4 linked regions of the Rhinolophus ferrumequinum genome follow. The protein of the gene in region 1 purifies or fractionates together with the protein of each later gene. This does not show direct contact. Links are inferred from orthologs where the notes say so. Each region holds a gene or a part of one and is shown in the gene's direction. Other genes may lie near its edges.

What was found.
Region 2: the proteins of LRRK2 (region 1) and MYO1C purify together in Homo sapiens (affinity purification with mass spectrometry; 3 studies listed by BioGRID and IntAct, with this or other methods). This does not show direct contact. The link is inferred for Rhinolophus ferrumequinum from reciprocal best matches to the Homo sapiens genes LRRK2 and MYO1C.
Region 3: the proteins of LRRK2 (region 1) and SLC25A22 purify together in Homo sapiens (co-immunoprecipitation; 3 studies listed by IntAct, with this or other methods). This does not show direct contact. The link is inferred for Rhinolophus ferrumequinum from reciprocal best matches to the Homo sapiens genes LRRK2 and SLC25A22.
Region 4: the proteins of LRRK2 (region 1) and TUBA1A purify together in Homo sapiens (affinity purification with western blotting; 4 studies listed by BioGRID and IntAct, with this or other methods). This does not show direct contact. The link is inferred for Rhinolophus ferrumequinum from reciprocal best matches to the Homo sapiens genes LRRK2 and TUBA1A.

The regions. Positions count from the first base shown.
Region 1 is NC_046293.1:43,684,487-43,691,353, forward strand, and holds the start of LRRK2 (leucine-rich repeat serine/threonine-protein kinase 2), read left to right. Parts: upstream 1-3,864; 5' UTR 3,865-3,997; coding exon 3,998-4,151; intron 4,152-4,403; coding exon 4,404-4,489; intron 4,490-6,867. UniProt on the Homo sapiens protein: Serine/threonine-protein kinase which phosphorylates a broad range of proteins involved in multiple processes such as neuronal plasticity, innate immunity, autophagy, and vesicle trafficking.
Region 2 is NC_046304.1:16,397,336-16,404,506, forward strand, and holds the start of MYO1C (unconventional myosin-Ic), read left to right. Parts: upstream 1-4,156; 5' UTR 4,157-4,364; coding exon 4,365-4,439; intron 4,440-5,241; exon of another isoform or gene 5,242-5,379; intron 5,380-7,171. Other genes in the region: INPP5K (inositol polyphosphate 5-phosphatase K), read left to right, coding at 159-242, 411-515, 697-756.
Region 3 is NC_046294.1:475,796-483,564, reverse strand, and holds the start of SLC25A22 (mitochondrial glutamate carrier 1), read left to right. Parts: upstream 1-4,761; 5' UTR 4,762-4,839; exon of another isoform or gene 4,840-5,066; intron 5,067-6,748; exon of another isoform or gene 6,749-6,901; intron 6,902-7,720; exon of another isoform or gene 7,721-7,769. Other genes in the region: PIDD1 (p53-induced death domain-containing protein 1), read left to right, coding at 328-741, 1,061-1,270, 1,354-1,408, 1,559-1,760, 1,838-1,963, 2,061-2,240, 2,320-2,467, 2,575-2,710 and 6 more. UniProt on the Homo sapiens protein: Mitochondrial glutamate/H(+) symporter. Responsible for the transport of glutamate from the cytosol into the mitochondrial matrix with the concomitant import of a proton. Plays a role in the control of glucose-stimulated insulin secretion.
Region 4 is NC_046293.1:50,213,389-50,221,211, reverse strand, and holds the start of TUBA1A (tubulin alpha-1A chain), read left to right. Parts: upstream 1-4,814; 5' UTR 4,815-4,954; coding exon 4,955-4,957; intron 4,958-6,989; coding exon 6,990-7,212; intron 7,213-7,353; coding exon 7,354-7,502; intron 7,503-7,685; coding exon 7,686-7,823. UniProt on the Homo sapiens protein: Tubulin is the major constituent of microtubules, a cylinder consisting of laterally associated linear protofilaments composed of alpha- and beta-tubulin heterodimers.

The DNA.
Region 1 (6,867 bases):
TATAGTGATCACTTCTTTAGGTATGTAACTGTTGAATAACTATGGTGTACATCTGAAACTAATATAATATTGTGTGTTAGCTATATTTTAATAAAGATCTTTTTAAAAAGCTTAAGAATGGGTATTCTAAGAGGAAAAAGGAACTATGGAGGCAGGTTTATTTTAAAGATCGTAGGACAAAATTCAGAGGTGAAGTGTTTCTGAGAACAGCACAGTATATGTCATGTAGATTGTCCTTTAACCTGAGGCATAAAACAAGAAGACTGCAGAAAACAGGTTAATAAAAGCTAAAATCACTATCTCAGTACCATCATTTTGGGGGCAGTTATTGCATACAGAGGGCATCAACAACTTTGGTGTCAGCAGAATTTGGCCACAATAAAAGGACCGGCCTGCTGCTTGGGAGGGACTGGAGGTGGTCTCTCTGGTTTAGGCAGCAATGCCTTCAGTCATTTAGTCAGCAGTAGTCACCTTGCTTTTGCTGTGGCAGAAACATGGGCAATCCCCCATTCACAAATATTTATTGACTATCTGCATGAATTCACAAGTTGTCGAAACTCTAAGGATAAAGTAGTGAGAAAAACTTATGGAGTATCATGGGGCTGATAATCTAATCAATGCAGAGCAGAAAAAAAATAAAGCTAGTTTCTACTCGGTAGCCAAAGAATACTTTGGGGGGTAGGGAGAGAGGAAGCACATGTGATATACATCCTGGGAACTTCAGGCATGTTTGGAAGAACATGAGGGCCTGACGTTGGCCCAGAGCAGGAGCTGACAGCTCCTGAGAACTGCTGTGTTGGCTGTGAGTCTCCATGGATCCCCAGTCTGGTGTGGCCAACAAAATGTGGATTGCATTTTATGATGTGCAAATTAACTGTGTAGGAATCCATGTGTAGTTCTCAGTTTTTAGAACAAGACTTCTCATGTTGTTGTTTTTAAGTCATGAGTTAAAGAGACTCTTATCTGAAGTTTCATTATGCTCTTAACCAAAGCAAATTCTAGTAACCACTGCAATTGATCTGGGCCTCAGACTTGCCACATCGTTGGGTGCTTTCTCTTTCTGTCTCCACAAAGTGATGCCTTTACATGGCCCAGTCCTTCCTGATGAGAATTGTCTGAGTGATACAGTTATGTGTTTGAATCTCAGCTCCGACTCTTAGGTAATTTATAACTTCTCTAACACTATTTCTTGAAAAATAGGAATAATAGCTGCCTCTTAGGGTTGTTGAGGTTAAACAAATTATACATGTAAAATGTCTTGCATAAAGTAGGATTCTGAGGTGCTCACTAAATTTTGTCTCCTTTTATTTCCTGTGTACCCACCTAACTGTGGCAAGAAATCCTTCCTGCTCTACATAATCATTGCTGAATGCTGAGGAAAACGGCTTTACGTTCACCCAGGATGTTTACATAATGCACTTGAGTGAGAAGTATGAAGAAGTAACACACACTGGAGAAGCGCAGTCACTCTCTCATGGTTAGTTCTACATTTGAAAGCTATGGTTTTTCCCTTTCCTTCTTTTTTTTTCCGCTATAGCAAAGTGCACAGGGCATTCTGTTTCCTCATACCAAACTATTAATCTATATATGTTCTTTTAAAAGTTATTTTCATTTAACTTTTTAATCCATCTGGAATTTGTTTTGGTGTCTGCTGTAATTATCAATGTCCATTTTACTTTTTTCTTCTCAGGAAGTTGGCCAAATGTTCCGACACCATTTTATTCTCCACTGAACACTACCTCTATCATGAATTTGTGCTTGTTAGCCTTCCTTTTCAGTCATGTTAATTATCTGAAGAGTTAATAAGTCTTGGATTTTAGTTAATCAATTAAGCATTTGTGAAAGCTAAAAGGGTACTTTGCCCTACCTCTGCAGTCCTGTGGGAGAATACTCCCAGCAGGGAATTCATGTTCCCACATCGCCGACCGCTATTCTGGCTAACATAGAGTAGGCAATAACTAGGCAATAGATGGAGGAAGGAATTGAGGAAAAGAAGACACACCTTTTTATTTAGTTTTCTTGGGAAGGAAGCTAGGTTTTGATATTTTGCAAGATAATAATCCAGTAGACTGGGAAGGAGAAACTGATGCAGGGGAATGGGAAGGAAAGCATGAAATGGAGAATCCTTAGGAATGCTTGAGATACTGATTGGTTTAGTCCGAAGTTGAAACATGTTCAGAAACCAGTTAGGAAAGGACATACTGCAGGTATGATAAAGATGACAAAGTTGAGAGTTTTTTGTTTTGTTTTCATTATGGGAAATCTTACACAGAAGAAATAGTACTATAGACCACATGAAGTCATTGCGTGTCTTTGACAATCATCAATTCGAAAGTTGGTATTGTCTCATCTCTACGTCCTCCCATTTCACACTGTTCCCCACCACTGGATTCCTTTGAAGCAAATCCTAACCATTCTGTCATTCCAACTGCAAATATTTCAGCATTTGTCTATAAAAGACAAAAAGTCTTTATGACAACAAAGCACATTCACAACATTCAGGTTGAATTTGAATCTGCAATTTTACTAATCTAGTGTATTAAGGAAGCCTAGCTCATCTTGATTAAAATGGTAAAGTGCAAAGATCCTATAACTGGGCTTTAGGAGACCTACCTGGGTTTAAGTGATGGCCCTCAACTTCCTATCGGTGAGTCCAACAACGCTCTTCTCTTATCAGCTCTAAATCTCAATTTCCCTGTTAGTAAAAGAAGGATAAGTGGCTGTCTTATCCATTTCAGAATTGTCCTCAGGATGAGGTAACAGAATTGAAAACAAACCATTCAAAATTGTGAAATATTAAAACTTTCAGTTCAGTCCTCTCCTTTGTCAATGACGCCCAGCACAAATCATCTAAAGGCAGTAGATGGTCTTTGTTTAGCCTTGTCTCCAGTGTTTCCTGGTAGATTTCTCTTTGTGAAAAACACATTACTTTGGTACTGTTTTTTGTTTTTTTAACGTTAGGTTTATAGATGCTCATAATCATAAGTAATTTTGAATGCCAAGAGAACAATGCCTTGATTGCTGTCTTTCACCTTTTCTGGTTTCACCTTTTCCTTTCAATTTACCCTGTGTTTCTCTTGTGCCCCAATTATCAGGATCCTACTGAGTGCAAACTCAAATTTTCAAAAGTTTATTTGGTGGCCTTTTGGCCAACAGAGCTTCAGATAATTAATAAAGAAAAAAAATTATTTCCTCCTTTACAAACGGCCACAACAATCATAGAAAAGTATTTAGATAGCCGTACTTTGATTACAAAAATCTCTTTCCATCCTTGAGGGGAAATTACTCATCTCCCCATAGGGGGAACTCTATAAAGAGAATGTTTTCCAAAAAGGGGCCAACTGGGCGGTGTCCTCTTTTCCCAACGCCCAGATTTCTATTCTTAGATCTGGAGATAGGAGGCGGCTTTCATTTTTCCTCTTCCTAGTTTCCAGACCTTCTGCGGGACTGAGGGCGCTCAGGCCGGCGGCTCGCAGCGGGTGACCGGCTAGGTTGCAGATTGCACTCCTCCTCCAGCCGCTGCTGGGCTCCGGGCCTGGGGAGTCCGCCGAGTCCCCTGAGTCGGTTTCTTCTTGCACGATTCCCGGCCGGACCGCCCCGGCGGGTGGGATCCGGTCTGTCGGGGCCCGCCCGGGGATCACGGTCACGGTCACCTCGGCCAGGCCCCGCTCAAGCTGCGTCCCTGCTGCCCGCTAAGGTTCTGCACAGCGCCTTGCCCTGGCGAGCCTCTCTCAGGCCCCTGAGCTCATTTTTTGGGCCTGGGTTGGGCAAGAGGAAGCAGAGGAGGAGGGCTCAGGGCTGGCAGGACAGCGCCGGGTGGGGAGCCGCCGCCTTCCTCATAAACAGGCGGGCGTGGGTGCGGATGGGGCGGGCGGGTAGCACGGGCTGCCGGCTGTGAGCCGTGCTCTCCTCGGGAGCAGTGACCCGCGCCGCTGCCCCTTCCCTGAGCAGACGGCCTTGGTGCGGGAGGGGCGGCCTGTTGGGAGCAGGGTCCATCATGGCCAGTGGCAGCTGTCAGGGGTGCGAGGAGGAGGACGAAGAAACTTTGAAGAAGTTGATAGTCAGGCTGAACAATGTCCAGGAAGGAAAACAGATAGAGACACTGGTCCAAATTCTGGAGGACATGCTGCTGTTCACCTACGCTGACCACGGTAATCATTTGCGAGGAAACTGTTCCTTTATTACACTCCCTCCCCCCGCCTCTTTTGCAAACTGTCTCCCCTACACTTTGCGCAAACGTGGACCCTTGGGAAGCCACAAACTCTACTCCTTAGGGCAAAAAGGAGCTGAGAATTCTCGGAAGGTATTGCGCTCACTTCTTTTGCTCTCTCCCCCTTTTTCATACTTAACGGGTGCTGTGAACCGTGACTTGGCTTCTTTTCCCCCACCCCCTTCTTTTCCAGCCTCCAAGTTATTTCAAGGCAAAAATATCCACGTGCCTCTGCTGTTCGTCTTGGACTCGTATATGAGGGTGGCTAGTGTGCAGCAGGTAAAGGAGTTGTTTTCATTTCTCCCATTTCCCCTTTTCTTTGGAAATACTTTTATGTCAATGTTATATGCCCAGAGCTCTGGGTTAGTTCTGAGATTTGGCTTGACATATCAATGACTGTGATTTTAAGATGGAAGCGTTGTCAAATCATTGTCAAAAGATAACTGGTGTAAAAGGGTCCACTGTGTGCTCCCTAATTGTCTTTAAGAAGTAACTTTATACAATTGACTGAATATGGATGGTGGTAAGGGGAATAATAATGGAGTGAAGTTGAGTTCTGTTATTGGCTACTTAAGTTCATCAGTGTTTAACTCAAATTGTTCTAAGAATCTTCCGAATGTACAGCATGCCCTAGAGATGACACCATTGTGAATAGTTTGCGAAAGGGGAATAATTAACAGTAATAAAATTAATAATCAATGAATAAAATGAAGTAACTTACAAACTTTCATAGGGTTAGGTTTTTTTTTTTAATTTGAAGATAGATTCTAGCCTTCTTTAGTTGTAGTATATCTTGTATTAGCTAAAGAAAGTGATTTATGATTCCCCTATAAGTCGATATTTTCAACCTTTTTCATATCATGTGAATCTAGAAGTGAAACTTAGAGTCTTCACCACAGGAAACCCATAAATTTGCTAAATACATTCGATATATCGAAAAAGGAGGCCTAACAAGATAATTAAGGATGATTTACAGTCAAAACAGCATTACTGCCTAACGTGTTAACTTCTTTTGTAGGTTTTGAGATTTAGAGAACTGAAATCAGTTTTGTCATTTGTCTGTAAGGTCCTGAAGGGAAAGATAATTGAACTTTGAACTCCACTGAGGTGCAGTCAGAAAGCCAATGTTTTAATACCTACTAGACAGATGTAAGAGTTATTTGGATCTCTAAATCTGTGTCTATCTACCTTTACCTTTATGATTATCTCTGTATCAGCTGTGTCTAATCTGGGTGAACCATATACTTAGCCTGTTTTATATGAGGATATTTATATCTGGGATAAATGGTTACTTTTATTTTTTTCAACTGAAGTATTTCCCATCTGACTTGATTTTCCGGTTGTTAGCATACAAAACCGAAAAGATGGAAGCATGATAAAGACACTGTCCTTTTTAGCACCCAAAGTCTGAATTTTGCCCATGAAATATGAGTCACTTTTTAGCACTGGTCCACTGTGCTTTCCATCCACATCGTCCCTGCTTACTTGCCTCGGGTGTTCAAAAGTCCTTGTCTGACAGCATCCTTGGATTCTATGCTTGGTAGAGTCACCCCTGCTGGGTGCCACTCAGAACAATTGGACCCTGAGTGGGCTTTGATCTGCAGGATCCAAAGAGGGCAGTGCTAGATGTCAGAACCCAAGGAGCTTGGAACATACTCACCACCTAATTCTTCATTTTCAGAACTGTGCAAGCTTGGGCATGTTTGTCTGGAGTAGTTATGAATATCACTCAATATCCTTGCCCAGGGGTTACCAGAGACAAAGTATGGAAGAAACTAAGGACTTGTCTTCTGATTTAGTCATTTAATGGAATAGAATTATTCGTTTCAGCACCATATGTGTATTAGTTTGCCAAGGGCATTATGTATGTTACATCATTTCATTCTCACTGGAATCTCACTGACCTGTCAGAAATCTCACTGTATATTTTTTCCTCAGAGTAAGTAGCTCATTTAGAATCACAGAGCTACTGATAGAGCCAGCACATACGTTCAAAATTTCTTTCCATCTTACAATCCACTACCTGCTGAATTCACATGCTTTTCGTGAAAGTAAAAACACAGTGGTTTGGTACCAATATTGTGGTTATGCTAGGTACAGTGACATTATCAATTTTAATTATCATTGGTCTTATCAAAGGGCTGTACAGATGGGTCTCTCACTGATATTTTAATACTTCACTTAAAAGAAAGTGTTTTTTTTCCTTCAAATTTCTTCATATTACTGGTGTAATTAATATAGATATCCTTTTGTTCTTTACATGTTGAATTAGCTGAAAGTGTTAAATGAAAGACTCGTAATCGAAAGTAAATATTAAGGTTTGTTTCCAGAATTCACTTAACATGATAGTCCAGACTCTGAATTTTTATTTTCAAGGTCTTTTCATATTTTATTCATGCTCCTTAATAAATGACAATCTTTAGAGGTTGGTAGTTAGGCTAGCTGTCCTAATACTTTGTTTTTTTCCTTCCAGTCATCTGACCATTTCTCTGTGCTCTTCAATTTTACATTACTTCTTTTTACCCACACAGTTCAACCTTTGAAGGGAGTGAAATAAATGAAGGTGACTAAATTTTTCTTTAATCCCTACACTCTATCCCATTGTGCATTAATTAGATCCTTGAGTTTACAGACTAATTATAATATAATAAAGTGAA
Region 2 (7,171 bases), on another chromosome or scaffold:
TCATCCCAGGGTCCTTGCCCACCTAGGGGCTGGCAGTGAAAGGGAGGGGGCATACAGCATGATGGCCCGACCTAGAAATGAGACTGTCCTCTCCTTAGGATGTGCCGTAGGTCCTGGGTACTCCCAGACCACTGACCACCCGCTCCCCCCTCCCACAGGTGGGGTTTCGCCACATTAATGACTACGTGTGCTATGTCTGGGTCAAGGACAACGAGGTCTTCTTCAGTGACAAGCTGAACCAGGTACCTGCCCCCCTTCCTAACCTAGGTATTCCACAACTCCAGCAGCTGGGCTTGCCTGAGCGCCCCTCTGTCTTCTGGAGCACACAGAAGGCTGGATAACTTGTGGCTGAGAACTGGGTGGGACCCAGGCTTGGAACTGACCCCATTCCTGTCCATCCTCCCCTCCAGGTGTACATCAACATTAGTGATATCCCTGAGACTGAGGACCAGTTTCTCCTGTGTTATTATAGCAACAATCTACGTTCTGTGGTGGGGATAAGCAATCCCTTCAAGGTAAGGCATGCTGGTGGGGTAAGGAGAAGGGTACGCAGAACCCCTCATCCGTTCCCCGAGGCCAAGGGCCGAGGAGTCAACCCGTACCTGGAGCCGCAGCGGTTGGGGAATGGGAGTGATGGAACAGCGGAGGAAAATGTGCTCTTTCCCCTTCCACTCACTGCCTGTTCTATCCCTGCAGATCCAGCCTCACGCCTTCTTGGAGAAGGACCCACTGGGTGAAGCCCAACCACAGATCTGAGCTGGGATGAGAGGGAATCCAGGGCGGAGGCCAAAGCTGGCAGCCAGCTCTGCTCACCACTGTCAGGAGCACTAGGGGCCCAGCCCAGCCCCTTGAGGAGGCAGCAAGTATCCTTCACCTCCCAGGGGGAGCTGTGGCCACACTCCTGTGCTCTCTCCAGTCCAAATCTCTGGAATTGGCCACTTAAATACAGGTTTTGTTGCTGAGACGTAAGTGAAACCAGCTAGTTTGTCAACAGTGAAGACCTGGGGACAGTCCACCGGATGTGGCAAGGACCCTGCAGCCTGCATTTCATTTCTTGGTTTTCCCCACACACACACTTCCAGCCCTGCCCAAGCAGGCCTGCCAGGCACATGCCCCATCTGGCACAGGCCTGCATTCTTATCACGCCATCCTGGGCCTCAGGCTGCCTGGGAGGCGGAGACACTCACACTTGTACAGGCTCCATAGACTGGTTGGTGCAAACAGCACTGGCCTCCAGGAATCTTGGCATCTCATTGCCTAGCTCCCTAAGGAATGGGCAGAGGGTCTGGGATCCTTGATTTGAGCAGAAGCAGTAGGACCAAGTGGGCAGGATGGAGGGGCCCCTCTACCCAGGCTTTTCAGTAGGGGTTGTGGGCAGGTTTATGACTGTCCTTCTGCCTGCACCCTCCTGCCCCCCCTGGATCTGACCTAGGAAATTCCTGGGCCTGAGCAGAGCATTGGACCCAGGTTCACTTCTGCTGGTGGGTCAGGCTCCATGCCCCCAACCTGCCCTTTTGTGAAGGGTTGGCAGGTGGTAGAAGAGCTATGGCCACAGACTTTTCCAGGGTGGTCTTTGCTCAGTGAACCTCATCTGGCTCTATCCTTGCCTGTAGTCACTAGCCAGAAACCTGCCCTCCCTCTAGACGACTCCGGGACCTAGAAGTGGGGGCAGGTAGACAAGAGAGCTGGAATTAAGACGTTTTGGAGAATCTGGTTCTGGGGGTCTTTAGAGAGCATTCTCCAGGTGCTTTATGGATGTGGCTGTCCCTGCTCCTACCACTTGCCTGCAGCCACTAGTGGCTCGGTGGCCCTTTTCCCAGGAGAAGACACCTCAGAGAGCCTACTCTGTGACTCATGCCAATCCTACAACCCAAGACTAAAGAACACTCCAGTTCTAAGTTCCAAGAACTGTCCCCTGGCTTCCGGTGGTCCATGGCTGTGTTCTGTGTATTAACATGGGGGGATAATTAGAAACATGGCTTTTACCCTGTGTGTGACTCCTTCTTGATGGGGGGGGCACATGGTGACGGGCCCTTGCTGGACTCCAGGACGAGCGCCCTGTAGATCCAGATTGACTTCCTGTGTCTGAGTGGCAGGTGTCGCCTGGATGGCAATGGGATGAGTGTCTGGGTTCCTGGCCCACGTGAGGCGTGCTACCGTGTTTCCCCGAAAATCAGACCTAGCCGGACCATCAGCTCTAATGCATCTTTTGGAGCAAAAATTAATGTAAGACCTGGTGGTCTTTTACTATAAGACCGGATCTTTATAATATAATAACATAATACAATACAACATAATACCGGGTCTTATATTAATTTTTGCTCCAAAAAACGCATCAGAGCTGATGGTCGGGCTAGGTCTTATTTTCGGGGAAACACGGTACCTATTTAACTAGGCACTTAATTTACTCTGCTGCTAAATAGAATGGGTTGCTTAGAACTACAGCTCTCGGAAAAGGTGCTTACTCTGCTCTCACTGGCCCATCCCGCCTCAGCTGCCACCCCCTCACGCCTGAGTCTTGAGCATAGGTCCTGGGTTAAGCTATCCAAAAATGCCATCATTTTCCTCTGCCCCCCACCCCCTCTACCCCAGAGTTCCCACGGTAACCTCTATCCCTGCTCCCAACACACACCCACCTGAGGAACCCTCATCCCTTGCACTTGGCCACTTCATTCCTTCTCACATACATAACCATCATGGGTGCTGCCACATAGCACCCTTCATTTGGCAGACAGGGAAACCACAGCTCAGAAATGGTGTGATCCTTTTGAAGTTACACAGGCAGCAGTGGTGTCATGCAGGACCAGAAACACAGGAATTGAGTCAAGACCTGGTTTGGAATCTCCATCTCTACCAACACAGGAGTCTCAGTTGTCTGTAAAATACAAATAATGTACCTATTCACAGGATTATTGTGAGAGAACAATTGTTAAAAAAAAAACCAGAGCAACACTATTATACCTACCTGGGGCTGGGTCTCAGGGCTCCTGTCTCCAGGGTCCCATTTCTCCTGCGTGTGGAGTGTGCTTGTCTACACGCCCACCTCTCTCCTTCCCTCTTCAGTCTTCACTCATTCCTACTCCTGCCTCCGTTGCAGAGCCCCTCCCAGCCTGGCAGGGGTGAGTCCAGCAGTGATTGAGAGGCGGGAAGGGGAAGGGGGAGTGCTTTCCCTCATCTTGGCTCCAGTCAGGATATGGCCGCTCTGGGCCCAGCCCTGACCCGCTGGGTGGAAACAGGAAATGTGAGAGACTTGGTGTGTGCTGGGTCTCTGTGCCTGGCTCCAGGGCTGATAAGGGCCATTGTGTGGCTGCCGGGGATGAGCCTGCCCTGGATAGATGTGCTTCCCGGAGGAAGGAAGGAAGCTTTGCTGGTTTTTCCGGGGCGGGGGAAGCTGTGAGTAGGGAAGAGAAGGGTGCTTGGGGGAAGGTGCCTGCGGAAGGGGTTGTCAAGGCCAGCGCAGGCCACTGGACTCCACCCCTCCTATGCCAGCATTTCCCTTCGGAGGGTTCCTTTCTCCCATCCACTTCCCCCTTCTCACTTCCTATAAGGAATGGCTGGAGACCCAAGGGCTCAGCCCCAGGCCAAGAAAGTGTCAGCTGTGATTTAGCAACTATAATAAAGATAGAAAAATAGGAACATTCAGGGTGGGGGCACCTGAGGGTGCTAATGGAAAAGTAAGGCTTGAACAGGGCTAAGGCTGCCCACAGCCAAGGAACCCAGGGACTAACCTCCCACGCCAAGAGTTTGAGGCTCCAGAGGAGGGTGGGACGGGGCTCCTCACAGCGCCCTTGCCTTTCCAGTGAACCCCCTCTGCCCAACAAGGCCTGCCCCCAGCAGCCCTGACCTTTCAAACTCAAGGGGCTCACCTGCTGCTGTGGAAGGCAGACAAACTCAGAGGGGCTTGCAGGAGGGGCAGGGCCTACCGATGGATCCTCTTGGTTTAGGGCAGGATATGCATTCTGGTTTGGGGAGTGATCACCCTGCTCTCCAGCTGACACCAGTCCGTAGGCAGAGGGAGAGGCCTCCTATCCTTTGACCTGGAGCCCAGGGTCCCCCACTGGTGGCTGCATCAGCTGCTCTGGTTACCTGGGACAACAGGCATTTCCTCCATCCCTCAGCCCCTCCTCTTCCTGCCTCAACCGGCTGGGCCAAGAGGCCTCCCAATCAGACCTGGGTTGCTCCAGCTGTGTCCTGAGGAGCTGGACCAGACACATCCCCTGGGGCTAGAATTGAAGCTGAACCAAGTGACCATCCCAGCGTGAGACTAAATTCCTGGTTCCAGGAGCAGCCAGAGCCAGTGGGCAGGCAGGCAGGCTTCTGCTCAGAGGCCCCGGTGCTCAGCACGCTGGCTATCCACAGGCGGAATGGCACTGCAAGTGGAGCTGATCCCCACCGGGGAGATCATCCGTGTGGTTCATCCCCACAGGCCCTGCAAGCTTGTAAGCTGGGATGTTCTGGACTGGGAGGAAGGGTGGCAGTGTGTGCCCAGGGCCCAGCAGCCCTCTCTCACGCAAACCCCTTGGGAAAGAGGTGAGCAGTGGGGAGGGCTTCAGCTCCTCCGTGGGACAGGAACAGACTGGACAAAACGGGTAAATGGGAGGGAGGGGTAAGGTTTTAAGCGCCACTATTAAGCACCACTAGAAGCAGGGTTTTTCAAAGTGGGGAATCTGGGTTTGAACCCCTTCTTCTGCTCCCTGATCCTCAATAGGCTGGGCTATGAACTGGGCATAACAACATCTAGGTGACTGGGCTGCTCTGAGGTCAAAGGACCTGTACAGGTAAAGCTCTCCAGTGGCGTAATACAGGCTTGGTTAATGCCTCCCCATTCCCAAAGAACTGGGACTGGCCAGCTCAAAGCAGTGGTGTGGACTGGACGGAGATGAAGTGCGAGAGGTAGTCACAAACGTGGAACCGAGCTGGCCCAGCACGCAGGGTAGGGTCGGGTTTGCTCTGGGATGCTAAGGGGTCCTAGGATGAGAAGGAACCTTATCAGACGCACTCACCCACCCACCCAGCGCTGCAGCGAGTGGGCTGGGTCTTCCCTGGAAGCCGGTGTGTGTGTGACAGAGAGACAGAGACTGTGACGCGCCTTTTCCCGGGAGCTGGTTGCCGAGTGTAGTACCAAGTCTCCGCGGACGCAGACGGGGGCCAGGGCCAGGACCAGGGCCAGGACCAGGGCCAGGACCCGCCGGCGCGGGGTGGGGCGGGGCGGGAGGGTGCGCGCGCGCGCCCGGGTCTGGGCCCAGCCTGGGATGACGACAGGCAGCGGCCCGGCCCCGGGCGGGCCCTGGGCGGGGAGAGCGTGCCCGGGCCGCGGACTCCAGAGCCGGCCACGCCGCCCAGCCTGGCCCCCGCCCGCGCACCCAAAGAGCCGAGCCGGTGGGTACGCTGGTCGCGGGCGCGGGGCGGGCAGCAGACGCGTGGCCCCGGGAGGCCTCTGTTGGCGCGCAGGATGGGGGAAAGGGCAGGCGGCTGGGCGCCGAGCCAGGCCCAGAGCTACCGTGCGGGAGGCGGGGGTCGTGGGCCTGGGGATCGCTGGGGCTGAGGGTCGGCTTGGCCCGGGCGGTGCCGGGTCCCAGGACCCGATGACGCCAGGGCTCGGCCTGGTGGAGACTTGGATTACTTGCGGGTAACGTGAGGACTGCAAGGAGAGGCTGGGGTTCCGGGACCCAGGCACCCAGCGCGCCCTTTGGCCGGGCTCGGACTCTGCCTCTGGGTTCCGGAGAAGCCTCCCGAGCCCCGCCCCTTCCCGTTCCCCGCCCCCGGACCCCCGCACGCCTGGGCGCGTATGACTGTAGCGGATGGGGGGCTTTGAGATGAATGAGAGAATGAATGGCTGGCCCACGGCCTTATTCATCTGCCGGCATGCTCTGGCCTCCTGCTCTCCCTGCTGGCTCAGTGATTCATTCATGAACGCAGGCGTCCACGAGGGGTTATTGAGCCCCCACTGTGTCAAGCTGGGTGTATGTCCCAGGCAGAAGCAGTCTTCTGGAAGAGACTTGACCAGGAAACCAGCGATTAGAGCGTAATGCGATAAAGAGGGGCCAGAGTGTTGAGGGTAGTCAGGAAGGGGTTCTGGAGGAGGTGATACCTGAGCTGAGTCTTCAAGGATGACTAAGAGTCAGTCATTTGCGGAGGGGAAGTGTGCACAAGGGGAAGGAAGCTGCAGGTGCAGAAGCAAGAAGTATAGCCACGTGTGGCTAGTGGCAGGGGCTGGAGCAGCTCATCCTGGCTGTGTGTAGTGGTGAGACAGACATAGGGAGAGAAGGACTGGAAAGGGGCACCCCTGTGGTCACACAGGAACATAGGAGCAGTGCGGTAAACTGAGGACAGAGGGGGGCGCTGGAGTCCCTATGCCGGGGCCTGGCAAGAAGCATTGGGTATGAAATACAGGCTTGGCACATGGACTGGTGCCCTATAAACCTTCACATCTATTAACATGAGATGTTAATTGATCGGATTGTATTTGTAAATACCACAGGCTGCTGTGGGAAAATGGATTAAAAGGAGGAAGGCAGGGAGGCCAATTTAGAGGTTGCTGCCTGGTCCAGGAGCAGAACAGTGATGGAGGAGCACAGGGGAGGTTTTAGCAGGTAATGACTCCTTGATGTGAGGAGTGGAGGGAGGAGGGCCTTTTGATACCAGGTGGTAAAGACTAGCTGGAGGTGTCTCCCTTCCCTCTACATACAGGATGTTGAACAAGGAGAGTAGGTTAGGGGGCAAGGTGCTCTGTTTACTTCTACTGGACCACCAGGCAGAGGTGTCTGGCAGGCCAAATACCCACGGTTCTGGACCTAGATTGTACAGCCCTTGAATGGAGCCCTGTGAGCAATTAGATAGAGCCCCATCCCCCGTCACAACAGTTCCCTTGGGTCTGGAACAGTCCTTGGAGGGGCAGCCTGGGCCCAGACCTAAGATATGTTTGATAAATATAAATTGAGCACCTGTTCTGTTCCCAGCACTGCACCGAGGGTGAGATAGGCTATGGTTTTTTCCACTGCCCTAACAGGCTATGTGGCTGTCTCAGTAAAGATCAACTTATAGCAGTGATCTGGGGGTCCTTAGAACACCCTTTCCAGACTCACGAGGCCCTGGGCTGAGGGAACATTTGAGGCTGCCCATTGCCCTCTCCACTCCTCCGGAGGTCAGACTTGGGGGCACCTGGCCCACA
Region 3 (7,769 bases), on another chromosome or scaffold:
TTCCCACACAGCACTGCCCAGCCCTCCTCCCCCAATGTGATGCTCCCCCAATGTGTTGTTATCCAGCCCTCCTCCCCCAATGTGCAGCTGCCCAGTGCGTTCTCCCAGCAGACCCAGTGTGCATGTTTTTCCTGGGGGTCCTGGGTGATGGCTGTAGCTGGGATGAGCCTGCGGTCTCAGATGCCACCTTGATCCATCCCCTGCAGCTATGTGTCTCTGTCTGGGTGGGGTGGGACTGCGGGTTTGTACCTCCCTCCGCAGCTCTTTCTCTGGGGACAGGGCCAAGCTAGGAACTGGGACTGGGCCACATCTGCCTCCCCTTCCCAGGTGGGCAACGCCGGGATGCTTTGGGTGCCTGCCTCCGGGGCTCCCTGACCACACTGCCCGCCATACTGAGTGGCCTAGCACGCTTGGCCCACCTGGATCTGAGCTTCAACAGCCTAGAGACACTGCCGGCCTGCGTCCCGCGGATGCGTGGCCTGGGTGCCCTGCTACTCTCTCACAACCACCTCTCAGAGCTGCCTGAGGCCCTGGGGGCCCTTCCCACCCTCACCTTCCTTGCCGTGACCCACAACCGCCTGCAAGCGCTGCCCACAGCACTGGGGGCCCTGTCCACCCTGCAGCGCCTCGATCTCTCGGAGAACCTCCTGGACAGTGTGCCCCCCGAGATCGGAGGCCTGAGCAGCCTCGCTGAGCTCAGTCTGGCCTCCAACCGGCTGCAGAGCCTCCCGGATTCCCTTGGTGAGTACCAGTATCTCCCTCCTTGGCGCACAGGGCCTGCTGGGGAGTCCCTCAGCCAGTGTCCAGCCTCTGCTCTCATGTGGGCCCTCGTCCTCCACGGGGCCCACCTTTGAGCCTTTGCTCCTCCCAGTGGTCTTGTTTGCCCCCCACCCCCACTGCCCTGGCCTCGGAGGCTCCCTGTGCAGGCTAGCCGAACTCTGTGTCTGGCCATGGGGCAACAACCACAAGGGCTTCCAGGGAGGCCCTAGCACCCTGGCGCTCTGGGCCTGGGTGGCACTGACTGGCCCTCCGCTTGCCCTAAGCCAGCGCCGGCCCACAGCGGGGCTGCGCTCCTTGCGCCTCCTTGTTCTGCATAGCAACCTTCTGGCCTCTGTGCCCGCCGGCCTGGCCCGCCTCCCACTGCTCACCCGGCTGGACCTGAGGGACAACCAGCTTCGGGACGTGCCCCCAGAGCTGCTGGACGCCCCCTTTGTGCGCCTGCAGGGGAACCCTCTGGGCAAGGCCCTGCCAGACTCCCACAGTCCCCCAGGTAGGCTTGTCGCTGGGGAGGGCAGATCACCAACAGGACACAGGTACCGTCACTATCCTAACAATCTCTCTGTCCTTCCACAGGGACACCCATGGTCCCAGAAATGCCCAGACTGTTCCTGACCTCAGATTTGGACAGGTATGGGGTGGGGGAGGGGTGGGGCTGGAGGAACAGCTAGCCACCCTGTCCACGTGCTCGGGGGTCTTCTCCTTGAGTCCCCAGGGGTGCCAGGCTCAGACATACATGCCCCTGTGTGTCTGACCTGATGCCCATCCTGTCCTCACTCAGCTTCCCCGTGACCCCCCAAGGCTGCTCTGTGACCCTGGCCTGCGGTGTCCGCCTGCAGTTTCCTGCTGGTGCCACTACTACCTCTGTCACCATCCGCTATCGACAGTGGCAGCCGGAGCCGCGCCTCGTCCCCCTGGGTCCCCATGACTCCTTGCTCAGTGGTGTCTTGGAACTGCAGCCCCATGGGGTGGCCTTCCAGCAGGCACGGCCAGGGCAGGTTGGGGGCAGGTGAGGAGGGCCAGGCATGGCCCTGGCACTCACAGCACCCTTGTGTGGCAGGAGGTAGGCCTGTGGCTGCTCTTCGTGCCCCCACGGTCCCGGCGTTGCCGTGAGGTGGTGGTGAGGACTCTGAGTGACGACAGCTGGAGTGACCTGGAGACCCACCTGGAGGAAGAGGCGCCGAAGGTGAGGGAGGTGCAGGGTGGCCTAGGAAGGAGCCCTGGGCAGGAGCTGTGTCCGGACCCTCTGACCCTGTTCCCTCTGACCCTTCCGCCGTGCCCAGCGGCTCTGGGCTCACTGCCAGGTACCCCACTTCTCATGGTTCCTTGTGGTTTCACGCCCTGTGTCCAACGCTTGCCTGGTGCCACCAGAGGGGACATTGCTGTTCTCCTCGGGGCATCCTGGGGTCAAGGTCACATTTCCCCCTGGAGCCACAGAGGAGCCTCGTCACGTCCGCATGCAAGTAAGGGCAGGGCAGCTGCCAAGGGTGGCGAGTGGTTCTCCGGCACAAAAGCATGAGTTCAGGCGGCCTGTCTGCCCAGGTGGTGCGCATGGCGGCCAGGGAGCTGCAGGCCCTGTTGCAGGAGCCGGAGGCAGCTGTGAGCCCCCTGCTGTGCCTCTCCCAGAGTGGCCCTTCCAGCTTCCTCCAGCCAATCACCGTGCAGCTGCCTCTGCCCCCTGGCATCACAGGTAAGAGGTGGCCATGTGGCATAGGACACTCGTGGCCATGGGGTGGGGGCAGTGCTCGGAAGGGGAGCCCCTGCTCTGGAGGCCTCAGCCATCCCCTCCATCCCTAGGCCTGAGCCTGGACCGCTCCCGCCTGCACCTGCTGTACCGTGCCCCTCCTGCAGCCACCTGGGATGACATCACGGCTCAGGTGGCACTCGAGCTCACCCACCTGTATGCTCGCTTCCAGGTCACACACTTCTCCTGGTCAGTGTCCCCTCCAGCCTCCTCAGCCCCTCCCCGCCCAGCCCCGCGTGTTCAGCCCCCCCCTCATCCCCAGCCCCCAGGTACTGGCTGTGGTACACCACCAAGGCCTGTGTGGGGCACCTGGCGGGCAAGGCCTGGCGGCGGCTGCGTCTCCACCATGTCAACCTCATCGCACTGCAGAGACGCCGGGATCCCGAGCAGATCCTACTGCAGTGCCTGCCGCGCAGCAAGGTGGGACCGGGCCGTGGGCTGGGGGGTGGGCTGGGGGTGCCCAGTGTCGGCTCTTAGCCCGAGGGTGCCCCCAGGTGGATGCCACATTGCGACGCCTGCTGGAACGGTACCGCGGCCCCGAGCCCTCCGACACGGTGGAGATGTTTGAGGGCGAGAGATTCTTTGCTGCCTTCGAGAGGGGCATCGACGTGGATGCCGGTAGGCCCCCACCCCTGGAGGGGGGACCCGGTCTGCGCCAGGCCCCCTGCTGAGCCCCCCTCCCGCCCCCAGACCGCCCCGACTGCGTGGAGGGCAGAGTGTGCTTCGTGTTCTACTCACACCTGAAGAACGTGAAGGAGGTGTATGTGACCACCACCCTAGACCGGCAGGCCCAGGCCGTGCGGGGCCAGGTGGGCACACGGGGTCGGGGCCCCGGGCTGCTTGGGCAGAGGCTGAAGCCCTGAACCTTGTCTCATCTTGTCCCAGGTGTCCTTTTATCGGGGAGCAGTGCCTGGCGAGGTGCCTGAGGAGGTGCCAGCCGCCCGGCACAGGAAGGGTGTGGATGCCCTGTGGATGGCCACTCTGCCCATCAAGTTGCCGGTGGGCCCGGGGACGGGGAGCAGGGTGTGTGTGTGTGTGTGTGTGTGTGTGTGTGTGTGTGTGTGAGGGGGGTCAGCACTCATTGCAGCCATCCTTCCCACAGAAACTGCCCCGCTCTGAGGGGCTGGGCCACAGGGCTAACCTCTCCCTGGCACCTCTGAACCTGGGTGATGCTGACACCGGCTTCCTGACCCAGAGCAACCTGCTGAGTGTGGCCGGGCGCCTGGGCCCAGACTGGCCGACGGTGGCCCTGCACCTGGGCGTGTCCTACCAGGAGCTGCAGCGCATCCGGCATGAGTTCCGGTGGGTTCCTTAGAGCCTCCCGCTGCCAGCCCAGCTGCTGGGGTGCCCTACCTGAGGCTGGCTGAAGTTCCGTCCAGGGCAGGTGGGCGAGCAGGACCCTGGGTGTGGTGGCCCTGGGCTGGGCCCCTCAGTCACCGTGCCCCTCTCTCCCCAGGGATGACCTGGATGGGCAGATCCGACATATGCTCTTCTCTTGGGCTGAACGCCAGGCTGGGCAGCCAGGGGCTGTGGGGCTCCTCATGCAGGCCCTGGAGCAGAGCGACCGGCGTGACGTGGCCGAAGAGGTGCGGGCTGTCTTGGAGCTCGGCCGCCATAAGTACCAGGATGGCATCCGGCGCACAAGCCTGGCCCCTGGGGGCCTTGCCCCGACTGGCCCTTCAGCATCAAAGTCCCCAGAGCCTGTCCAGGCCTAGACCCTGCCAACCTTGGGCTGGCCCCTGGTGTGCCCTGGCTGGGGCACAGAGGCCCCCATTTTCAAGCCTTCCCTGTGTGTAACAAACATGCAGTGTGCTGGTTGCTGTCTCAGAGCTCAGTTTGGTTTGTTTTTTGGGTGGAGACCAGAGGCCTGTCCTTGCCCCTGGCCCTCCCATGTGTCCTGACCTTCCCTGGGAGGGAGGGGAGCCGTGCCACAAAGTAAAGGATGCATCTGCCCTGTTGGCTGTTACAGCCTAGTTCCCTCGGAGCTCTACTGTGTGGCGCACGCTTCTCCCGTAGGACACTATTGTCCCAGCGCTCCTCGCCACCCTCTGGCCCTATGGGACTATCCCTGGGTCCCCGCCATGCAGGCTCTTGGGGACCCGCGGCTTGGCCACGGTGCGCGCTGGCACCGGGCTGCGGCCCGGCGCTGCGGCCCGGCCCGGAGTAGTGGCCGCGGTGGCCAGGAGGGGGAGCCGCAGCGCGCGTGCTGCCGAGGGCCGGGGGCGGAGCGCGCGCGGCGCCGGGCCGACGCGCCTATGCAGCGGGGTGCGCGGCGCGGCGCGGCGGGGAGGCGAGCGCGGCGGCGGTGGCAGAGCGCGGTGAGTGCCCGCTGGCCGCTCCCTTCCACTGCGCCCACCCGAGTGCGGTCCGGCTGCGGGGTAGAGGGGCGCGGAGGCGGCCCGGGGAGGTGACAACTGCCTGGACGAGGCGGCTCCGGTGGGGCCCCGGTCGGCGGATGCGCGGATCCGCTGCCACCCGGGTGTGGGAGGCCGTGCTCGGCCCCGGGCGGTGACGGACGCGTTCCCTGCGCACGTGTCCCCGCGAGGTAGGAGCCTGAGGTCGAAGCCCAGAGAGCAGATGCCAGGCCGTGTGTGTGTGTGTGTGTGTGTGTGTGTGTGTGTGTATGTGTCGGAGGGGGGCACACGTGGGACCCCGCCGGACGTGTGTGGACACGTGCGTGGCTTGAGTCGCCATCGCCTGGCGGAGGACAGCGTGGCCCTCTGGGACCACGTCTGGACCTCATCCAACGGGACAGGGCTGAGCCCGCCTCCGAGGGGAGCTCGGGGGGGCCCCCACCCGTCCTGCCTCTTTTGTCTACCGAGTTGGGGCCCCTCTAAGCCGGCAGGACAGAAAGCACCTCCCCAGGGGAAAGGGACTGGGGGGAGGTGGAATGGGGAGCCAGTGGCCGGTCCCAGACTCTGAGCCTCACCCTCATCGCGTTTCTTGGGGGTGGATGAGCAAAGCGGCTTCATTTGTGGGAGATTTTACCTGAGGGTCTGGAAGCAGAAGCATCGTCCAGTAGGTGCTCTCTGTCCACAGCCTGAATGGCCCAAGGGTTGGTTACCTAACTATGGAAGCAGAGGGTGGACAGTGAAGGTTGCCAACCCTGGGCTTCGGTCCTGGCTGGGGCTGCCCGGTTTCTATGGCAACATGGGGTGCAAGGGAGGGCCCTCTACAGCTGTCTCATAAGCAAGGGGTGGAAACCACGGAGTGAGGACAGAAAAGGGGGTACTCAGGGTCCAGAGGACATCTCTCCCGTCCTCCCCAGGCAGACCCCCTCACTCTCACTGTTCCTGGTGGGGCCTTCCCCCTCCAGCCTGCAGTTTGTGACACCAGCCCCAGGGCTGACTCTTTTCTCAGGCCTGCCTCTCTTCCTGGGACAACTGTTCCCTTTCCTATCTTAGGTGGTCTGACTTCCGGGACCCCTGTCATCTACGTGTCCCTAACCCCAGACAGGAGGTGGGGTCTGGTGACGCTAGGGGAGTCAGTGTTTGTTCAGTCCCCAGAGGGCAGGGCAAGACCCAGGAGACCAGAGTCGGGATGTAGCCTCTGCCCCTAAGGGTCTTGGGCAGCAGAGAGCGCTGACGGTGGCCAGTCTATACCAGGAGGGTGGGGTGGTAGAGGTGGGGAGGGAGGTCAGGTTGAAGCTCAGAGGTCAGACTACTGTGCAGGCTGCTGCACAGAGAAGCAGGTCCCTGACACAGGGTGTGTGTGGGGGGGAGGGGGCTTGGCAGGGCAGAGGGCTCAGGGAGTGCCGGTTCATGTGATCTGTGGACCTGCCAGGTGAGCAGGCCTGCGGGTGGCAGCCAGTGGCCCCTGACAGCCAGCCACCCCTTCCTTGTCCTTTCCAGTGGACAGGAGTGTCTTCCTCTGAAACCCATCACCAGGTTTCCCTGAAATGTACCTTCCCCCAAAGGACACTCGAGTCCCACAGACACGTGTGAGCCCTAACCCATCTCCACCCCATGGCTCCCATTCCCCAGCAGAGCCCATGGGGGCTTGAGCACAGAAAGGCCCGTCCTCAGGGGTCCAGTGCCCTATAAAGGTAGCCTGCAAGCTGCAGAACCCGTGGGGCAGCCGGGGCAGGTGGCCTGGCTTGGCTGGATCACTGTGAGTTGGACTCGCTGCCCTGGGGGCTGTGGGGGCTCTGAGGCTGAGCCGTGCCTCCCAGAAGCTGTCACACCCCTTCTCATCCCTTCTCCCACAGCTGAAGGGAACCTAAAGTGAAAGAGAAAGTCGTCCCCTCCCAGGCCCGCCCCGCCCCGCCCGGAGGCCAATCCCCGCGGCCAATCCCCGTGGCCGCACCTCCCTCAGCGCTAGGTCTCTGTGAGCTTAGCCGGCAGGCTGTGGTCTCAGAGGAGCGAGCTCTGTGCACCTCGGGTGAGCGGACCAGAGGCAGCAGGGATGGTGGGGTCTAGTGGGGGTGGGCAGGCGTGGGGAGGGCGTGAGGCCTGGCCTGGGAAAGTGGAGGTGAAGGTCATCAGTCCTCAGAGGGACCGCATTTGTGAGCCAGCTGGGTGACCCTGCATGGCGGTGCTGCTGGCTAACCGGTGACAGCTGGCCTCTGCGGGGGCCAGGCGGCGGGAGGCCCCCACAGCTCAGTTTTGATGGCTGTGCCTCCCATGGGAGGCCCCCAGGGCTGGCTCTGGCTCCCTAGCCCTGCTCCTAGTGAGAGGGACTCTTCCCAGGGCCCTAGAGTAGATGAGAGGACCAACTACAGGGAGCCTCAGAAGGTCAGCTGACCCGCCCCTGTGCCCCCACACACCCCTGAGGCTTCCAGAGGTCCTGGTCACAGGTCCTTGTGTGTGTGTCTGTCTGGGAATGAAATTCCTGGGAGGGGTGGAGAGGGCGGTGGAGGCAGGGCAGGGCTGAGTGTGGGTGAGAATGGTGCCTGTCGGAGGGAAGGGGATGTCCGGGGTTCCAGCGTGGAGTTGCTAAGGGAGTTGGGGCTGCACCTGAGGTGGCAGCGTCTCCCTGGGCAGCTGTGAGCTGAGCCCAGGTAGGGGTTCCTGGGGCGCCAGGAAGGAGCCCGTGAAGAGACTCCAACCGCTTCCTGAAGAGGCCCTCCCAGCTGCCTCTGCCCAAGGTGGGGGCGGAGCTGCAGCCCAGTCCAGGGTCCAGGAGCCCCAGCTGGCAAATTGGCCCCTTCCTGCCAACCCCTGCCCCTGCCGCTGCCTCCTCTCCAGGTGCCTGGCCCTTTAAAGGCTGTGCTCCCTGTGCACGTGAGTGTGAGCGTGAGCAGGTGCTG
Region 4 (7,823 bases), about 6.5 Mb from region 1:
CACCCTCTCCATAACACAACATACACCAACACATTTCCTGATCAAACTTGCATCTCTTCTCAAAGTCCCTATTTCTGTAAAGAGCACCATTACCGTTTCATTTTCCTAGTTCTTCAGGTTCCAAAGTTTAAGGGTTAATTTTGACTCTTTCCTTTTTACCTCATGTCCAACCAATCACCACTGGAATTCTTCCTTCAGATGGTCTTTTCTATTATCTCTTTCTATCCATTCCCACTGTAATTACTATGGTCTGACACCTTCTGCTTAGATTATTGCAATAACCTCCTTATTGGTCCCCTTATCACATGTCTCTTTCCCTATTCCACTTACCTGTCAGATTAATTTTATGAATATGCTGTTCCCTTCCCTTTTTCCTTTTTTTTCCTAAAATTATAAAGGCTTCACACTGTCTATTGACTCAAGCCCAAACCCCTTCAGACTGGAGTTCAAAATGCTTTAACTAGCTCCACTCTCCCCATAAAACACATTACTCATAATTCCTTTGTATGCCCAAGTCAATTTCTTTGCTAATATTATTTTCCCTATTTAAAGTACAATGGTATCAGATGATTATTTTTAATTCACTTTTCTTTCTCCTTTTTATTTTCATTTTCCTTTGTGGGAATATCTTTATGAACTCATGGGTTTATGTTGTTAAAAGTTTTATTATAAAAATTGCATAAATACAAAAATGCATAAAACACAACTTTACAGCATAACAAATAATTATTAAGTGAACATTCAGCTTTTATATCCCTTTGCCTCCCTTCTCCCTATCAAAATCAACTTGGGAAATTATCTGAATTTTAATGTAATTTAAAAAAATATGTCCTCTCGGAGATTTTTAAATAAATATAAGATTTACTTCTATTATGGAATTGAAGGAACCATATTAAGGATTTGGGATCTTCATCTTAAAACTAACAGGCAGCCATTAATCTGATTTATGCAGTAGAGTGACATAATCTATTACATTATATTATATATACAAGATCACTCTGGCTGTTGTGTGGAGACTGGACTGGGCAGGGGTAGAAGTGAATGTAGAGGAAATATAAGGGGACACTGAGTTTGTCCAGACAAGAGATGATGTACTTACTAGAGTAGAGGCAGTAGAAATGGAGAGAAAAGAATAAGATTTGAGACACATTTAGGAGGTAGACTTGACAGGACATAGTGACTGAGTCTATGGTGGTCAGAAAGGAAGGGGAGATGTCAAGAATAATTCTCATTTCGGATGTAAGAAACCAGGTGTATGCTGCTCCATTTACTGAGCAAAAGAACCTTGTAGGAGGTGCATGTTTGCACCTACTGAAGACAACTCGTTCAATTTGGGATACCTGTGAGAAATCCAGCCAGAGATTGAAAGTTTATGATATAATCTGGATCTAAGAAGAGATGTCAACAAGTCATTAGCATACAGAAAGGATCTGCAGCCTTCGGAATGAGTGCACTTACTATCCACTAGGAGTGGATGAAATCGCATAGAATCAAATGAGGAAAAGGTCTAGGACTGATCCTTGAGGAACTTCAACATGTGAGGATTAGGAGAGGAGAAAGAAACAGCAGAGACTGAGAAAAAAACAAAAAATGTAGAAAAGAAACCTAGAAAATGTAGAGTTTTTGAGGCCAAGGGAAGAAAGTGTCTCAAGAAATAGGTAATAGGGGGGTGGGAGGGAGGTAGACAAAGGTAAAGGGGATCAAATATATGGGGGTGAAAGGGGATTTGACTTTGGGTGGAAAACACAATGCAATATACAGATGATGTATTATACAAATGTACATTTGAAACATAATTATATTAACCAATGTACTCCAATAAATTCAGTAAAATTAAAAAAAAAATTTCCAAAGTGAAAAAAAGAGAGATAATAGTCAATTGTGACAAAGCTTTCACAGGTCAAAAAGAACTAAAAAGTATCCAGTGGATTTAGCAACAAACATGGAAGCCATTTGGTTTTAAAAATGGTAGGAGCAGAATCCAGACTGGAATGGATTTAGGGATAAATAGGAGGTGAAGAAGTAGGAAAAAAGTGTTAGACACCTCTCTTGTTTCCCACATAAGTTATGATCCTCCCTCATACACACACAAACACATGCATTCTCAAACCTATATACATGTACTTGTTTTATTTCTTTAATTAGATTGGAAGAGTGTGGTGGAAAGGAGACCATGTTACTACCTCTGAATTCTCATAGCATATAGAATGGTCCAGGGCTTACTGTGGACACTTAGTACATGCTTATTGTATTAAAAAAATGTAAAATACTTTATTAAATACTTTTAAATTACTAATCATGATAATAATGAAAATAATGAAATTAAACAGAGAAGCTGTTTAATTCAACAAACATGTATATAACCTCTACTGTATGCTAGGCACTTTGCCAGGGGCGAGGAGTCACATTTTCATGGAGAAGAGGCGTAGACACACAAATAAATAATTTAAATTTCACAATATTATGAAGGAAAAAATGTTTTATGCTAATCTTACTGTGTACGAGAATGAATCCATTAGTAGAATATTTATTCATGTACACTAATATAAGTTAAAGAAATTGGCAGTAAAAATGAGAAATGAACTAGTAAAAACATTTTTTTTTTGGCCTCCCATAATTTGCATACTATTAAATCAGATGAAGAACAAAAAGATTAGTTATTTTCCCTGCTCTCCCATTTATATATTTAAGATTATCAGTGCTCAAATAGTCTATTTCTGACCTAGATCTTATTGTTACTTATGCCCAAGGGGAGAAAAAAAATCCTCATTTACATAAGGAACAGAATGGCTCTGAGATAGAATTACAAAGAAGAATCAACTACATGAACCCTTCTCTCTTTGATTTAATTCTCAGTGTAAATGGCATAAGGAACTGAGGCTATTGGAGAAATGACATATTTCTTTTATACTGTAAAGAAAATAAAATTCAAGACTACCCTTCATTTCCAAAATGAGATTTGTACACTTTATCAAGGTCCAGCAGTGTCTGATTTATTTTATTATTAAAATTTTGAAAGAAGTATTTTCAATGAGCTACTTATTTAATCCTTACACTCCCCCATGGCATTTCATTCTTATTTTTGTTAAATGGACTTCTGGATTCAGAAAGAAGTATTCAAGTTATCCTTAATTTTCCTGTCTTTTTACTGAAATATACTTTTGTTTGCTAAAGAAAGATAAGATGATGTTGAAGATTATTTTTCCTATGAAATATGCAAGAAGTGAATCATTTGTGTATTGTTTTTTTTCCCCCGAGGGAAGACTCTACTGCAGGAAATTTGAACAAGTAAAGCAGAGCTGTGGATAGCCGGCTAGAAAAATCCACGGCCACCATTGTCACACCACAACCTGCAGCAGCTGTCTCAAGTCCATCCCTCCCACGCCCGGCTCTGCCTGTCAACCCAGCAGGAATGAATGCGCTCTGCGGAGCACTTCAAAAGGTGCTGCAGACCCTGAAAATCTGTCACTGAAAACCGAAGGGAAAATACAAATTTTCAACTTTGTGGCCATAACAAACCTTTTAATCTTTTAAAATTCATTAGCAACGTCAGGTGGTACCCAGTTCAGAGTCTTACTCTGCATAGCCCTTCCTTGTTGAAAATGGAGCCTTTCAAAGTAGCAAAAGAATGTTACTGCAATCCATTTCCTAGGGGGTGAAAGCAAAGCCTTTTTGTCCCAAGAGGCAATTGAGCAACCACCAGTCTCTAGTTGAATAGCCAGCGTGTGAGGCTGGCTGCAATTCCCACAGTTAGAAGCCTAATCTCGGAGGAGGAGATTTACCAAATTCAGATAAGAACTACATAAAAAAGAAATGCAGTTATTGAGCTGACATCACAGACTGGTCTGTGCGTGGAGGCAACATTCCAAAATAGTCTTCTTTTTACATTGTGCAGCTCTCCTCCTTTTTAATTTGGTGTCTCAGTTATTTTTTTCATTCCAGGAAAGAGAACAATGCAGAATATAACCGCATGCACAGGTAGTATTAGCTTCTGAACTCAATTCTTTCTCTTTATATTTTCTCAGTTCTATATCAGGAAAAAAATGATTCATTTTAAGGGAAAATACACTACACAAATTACTATTACATAGACTTCTGGTAAAGGAATATTTCTAGTAAAATTATTTACAGTATGTTAATTAGAGCGTAATTATTGCCACGTTAGAACTACTTGAGTGCTTCCATATTTAGTATGGTTATTCTTTCCATCTTCTGTTTTTGTTTGGCTATTTGGGAAGGGGTACAAAAGAAGATCTGAAAATAAAACTTGAACCTGAGAAACCATTTTGGATGACTCTACTATTAAACTTTTTAAAAACTAAAACAAACACATTTACCCAAGCCATTTGAAGCATCATTCCCGTCTTCTCTCCTACTTTATGTTTAAAGCAATTATCGATGTTGACTCCTCACGGAATGTGGTAGAGTTTAGCATACACTTTGAGGGAGAGACTGGAGCAATTTTCCATTAAATATTTCATCTGAACATAAATTCTGCGACTAAGAGTTGGGAAAAACCTTACATTGGTGATTTTAGTTGTAGTTTGATGATAAAATCATCCCAGCCTCTGTTCTCTTTCTTCCCTTTTGCACCCCCTCCTCAGCCCCACCCCATAATGGATGCTCCGCTGACTGTTTTCGCTCAGTCTCTTTGTCTGAAGGATGCAAACAGTCTATGGATGCTAGGGAAAAAGGGGTGGGGGAGAGATTACCTCATCCCATGTCGCTTGCACCAATCACCACTCTTCTGTCGTGGCTTCTCTGGGCAGATTGAGGGGTCTGGACCAACAGGAAAAGGCCCCAGCCCATCCCCATGGTGACCGAGTTGTATATAGGGAGCCGCATCCACCCATGTGCCGCAGGTTCTCTTACATCGACCGCCTAAGAGTCGCGCTGTAAGAAGCAACAACCTTTTCCTCCCAGCCATCCACCCGGCAGCCGCAAAGCAGCAACCATGGTAAGAAAGAATATGTTCTCTCTGGTTCTTTGTGGCCATTGGGTGGGGTCAGCCCCCCACGGTTTGCTTGGAAAATCTTAAGCTCTTTTCCTTTACAACTTCTTTAGGTCAGGGTAGGTCGCCTTACGCTTTGTTGGAGAGGTTAAGCTTTGTGTGCCCCAAATCCTTGAGCCTGGCCGCTGCCGCAGTGCAGGGTGCAAGCAAGAGCCCGGCAAAAATTGCGCCGAGGGCGCGGCAGAACCCTGGGGAAGAACAAAGGCGGCGTGGAGGCGGTTGTTATCCCGCGCCTTCAGAGGCGCAAGCAGCCCGTCTGTCGGTGACGAGAGGGTCGGGAGCAGGGAAAGGGGATCGCGGCGTCTCCTGCACACAGTGTGCGTGTGAATCGGAGGCTCTTTTCTTCCTCGCGCTGTTCCCCTGGGGCAGGGAGAGGAGGCGTCGCCCCAGAAGACCCGGGGTCTGTGGGTTTAGCTGGGAGGAGTGGGGAGAGGACGACGGCTGAGACAAAGCGGAGCCTTGGGTTAGTTTAAAAAAAAAGTTCCCTTGCCGGTTCGTTGGCATTTTAGAAAGATACCCGCGTATTAACGGGAAAAAAGTGGTTGGTTTCTGTTGGAGCCAGCGGCAGCCGGCGTCAGGGCGGCGCAGGGGCGGAGTTGTTTGTCTCTGGCTTCTCCGGCCTTGGAGCCATTGGGCGGGGTTCGCTCTCGCTAACTCTCTTCTGTCAGGAGGAGACTATTCAAGTCTTTCATCGTTGTAGAACTGTAGGCCTTACAAGGCTTTTCATTCACTGCTAAAACTTAGATGGAATGTTTTTTCTTGAGAAGCAAAATCACAATTCACTTGACAAGTCCTTTAAGGTCAGGACCGGGGCTACGCAGACCTGGCGGACTTGATTGGGTGTTTGTCTGTCTTGGCCACATGTTCAGTGAGAAAGACACTTTGTGAACCAGGGGACCCTAACGCGCAGGACCCAGGGAAACGCCCCGCCCCCCCACATATCAGTGAATAGACAATGGATAGACAATGCAAGTTGTAGCCATAAAGACCATAGAGTAGAAAATATCTATTGAATGTGATGAGTATGAACATTCTGTGGTGGGTAGAGAATCGAACGAATGAAAATACGTACTATTTTGTTTTAAATAAATATTTCATTATCCTTTCACTGGACTTTCTTGTTTATTTGGTAGCGTCTCATGTGATAGTTTGTTTTCAATTTAGGAACTGATGTTTTAAAGATACTCATAATTTTTCACTTTTCTACAGTGGAGAAAATTCTGGAGAAATTTTTAAAAAGTAATGAAATTAATGCAGACAAAGAAGAATTATACTCTGTGTCCAGCTGTCTTTTGTTCGAGCGAATTTCAGTAATTCATTTCAATTTAGGCGTATGGTTCCAGCCTGGCTCAGAGGAGGGAAACTGGCAGAATGGCACAATGAGATCATGTGGGTAGTTTCTGGAAATAGAGCTTGCTCTGTTAAATAATGTAGCAGACAGCACAGGCTAGCACCAGGCACAGCAAATACAGCAATGCAGCAGTGCAAGGAGTCAGCCCTTGCTTAGCTTCCAACCCCCTAGTACAGATGGGTTCTGCAGATAGACTGCAAAAGGGTGTGGCTTCTAGCCTCAGCTGCAATACAGATGTCCATATGGAAATACCCAGTCATATTTAGAAGAAATTCTCATCTGTATTTAAAGGGGAAGGAGGTAGTAATATTGATTCCAATTAATAATTGAATTAAACTTCATTCTACAGAATCTGTGTTTTGAATATTTTTAAATATGAAAAATCTTCTATTCAAGCATGGCCATGGGAACAATAGACTTGCACTCTGCGCTGTACCGTGCCACATTTTTCAGGCCACGCCCACCTGCAGCTTTTGTAGCAGGTGCTTTTCCTTATTGTGTTAGGGATATGACCTCAAATAAATTTGAAGAATACCTGTATATAACTAGAAACATTGATAGAAATCTACTGAAAATTCAAAATGATAACAACCTAATTTTACAATTTTTCTCTTTTCTTTCCCACAGCGTGAGTGCATCTCCATCCACGTTGGCCAGGCTGGTGTCCAGATCGGCAATGCCTGCTGGGAGCTCTACTGCCTGGAACATGGCATCCAGCCCGATGGCCAGATGCCAAGTGACAAGACCATTGGAGGAGGAGATGACTCCTTCAACACCTTCTTCAGTGAGACAGGCGCTGGCAAGCACGTGCCCAGGGCAGTGTTTGTAGACCTGGAACCCACGGTCATTGGTGAGTTGACCTCCGTAACCCAAGTGAGATCCCAGGGGTCTGGGACAGGATGTGTGTCCTGGGGGCTCTGTGGATGCCCTGGGGTTGGGCAGCTTGTGCGGGTTGTTAGTGATGGGTGGCCGCTTTGTTTCCCTTTTCCAGATGAAGTTCGCACTGGCACCTACCGCCAGCTCTTCCACCCCGAGCAGCTCATCACAGGCAAGGAAGATGCTGCCAATAACTACGCGCGGGGGCACTACACCATTGGCAAGGAGATCATTGACCTCGTCTTGGACCGGATTCGGAAGCTGGTGAGTACCAGTTTGAAATATACTTAAAATGGGGTGAGGTGATTCATTGCAAGTTTAGTGAAGAGACCAAACTATAGCATTCCTTCTTTGGTGCATGCCCAAATGTGAGATACACTGCTCACTGTATTAATTGAAAAGTATCCGATGTTGAAGAATTACATTTTCTTTTTACTTCCTTCACAGGCCGACCAGTGCACAGGTCTTCAGGGCTTCCTGGTTTTCCACAGCTTTGGTGGGGGAACTGGTTCTGGGTTCACCTCCCTGCTGATGGAACGTCTCTCTGTCGATTATGGCAAGAAATCCAAGCTGGAGTTCTCCATT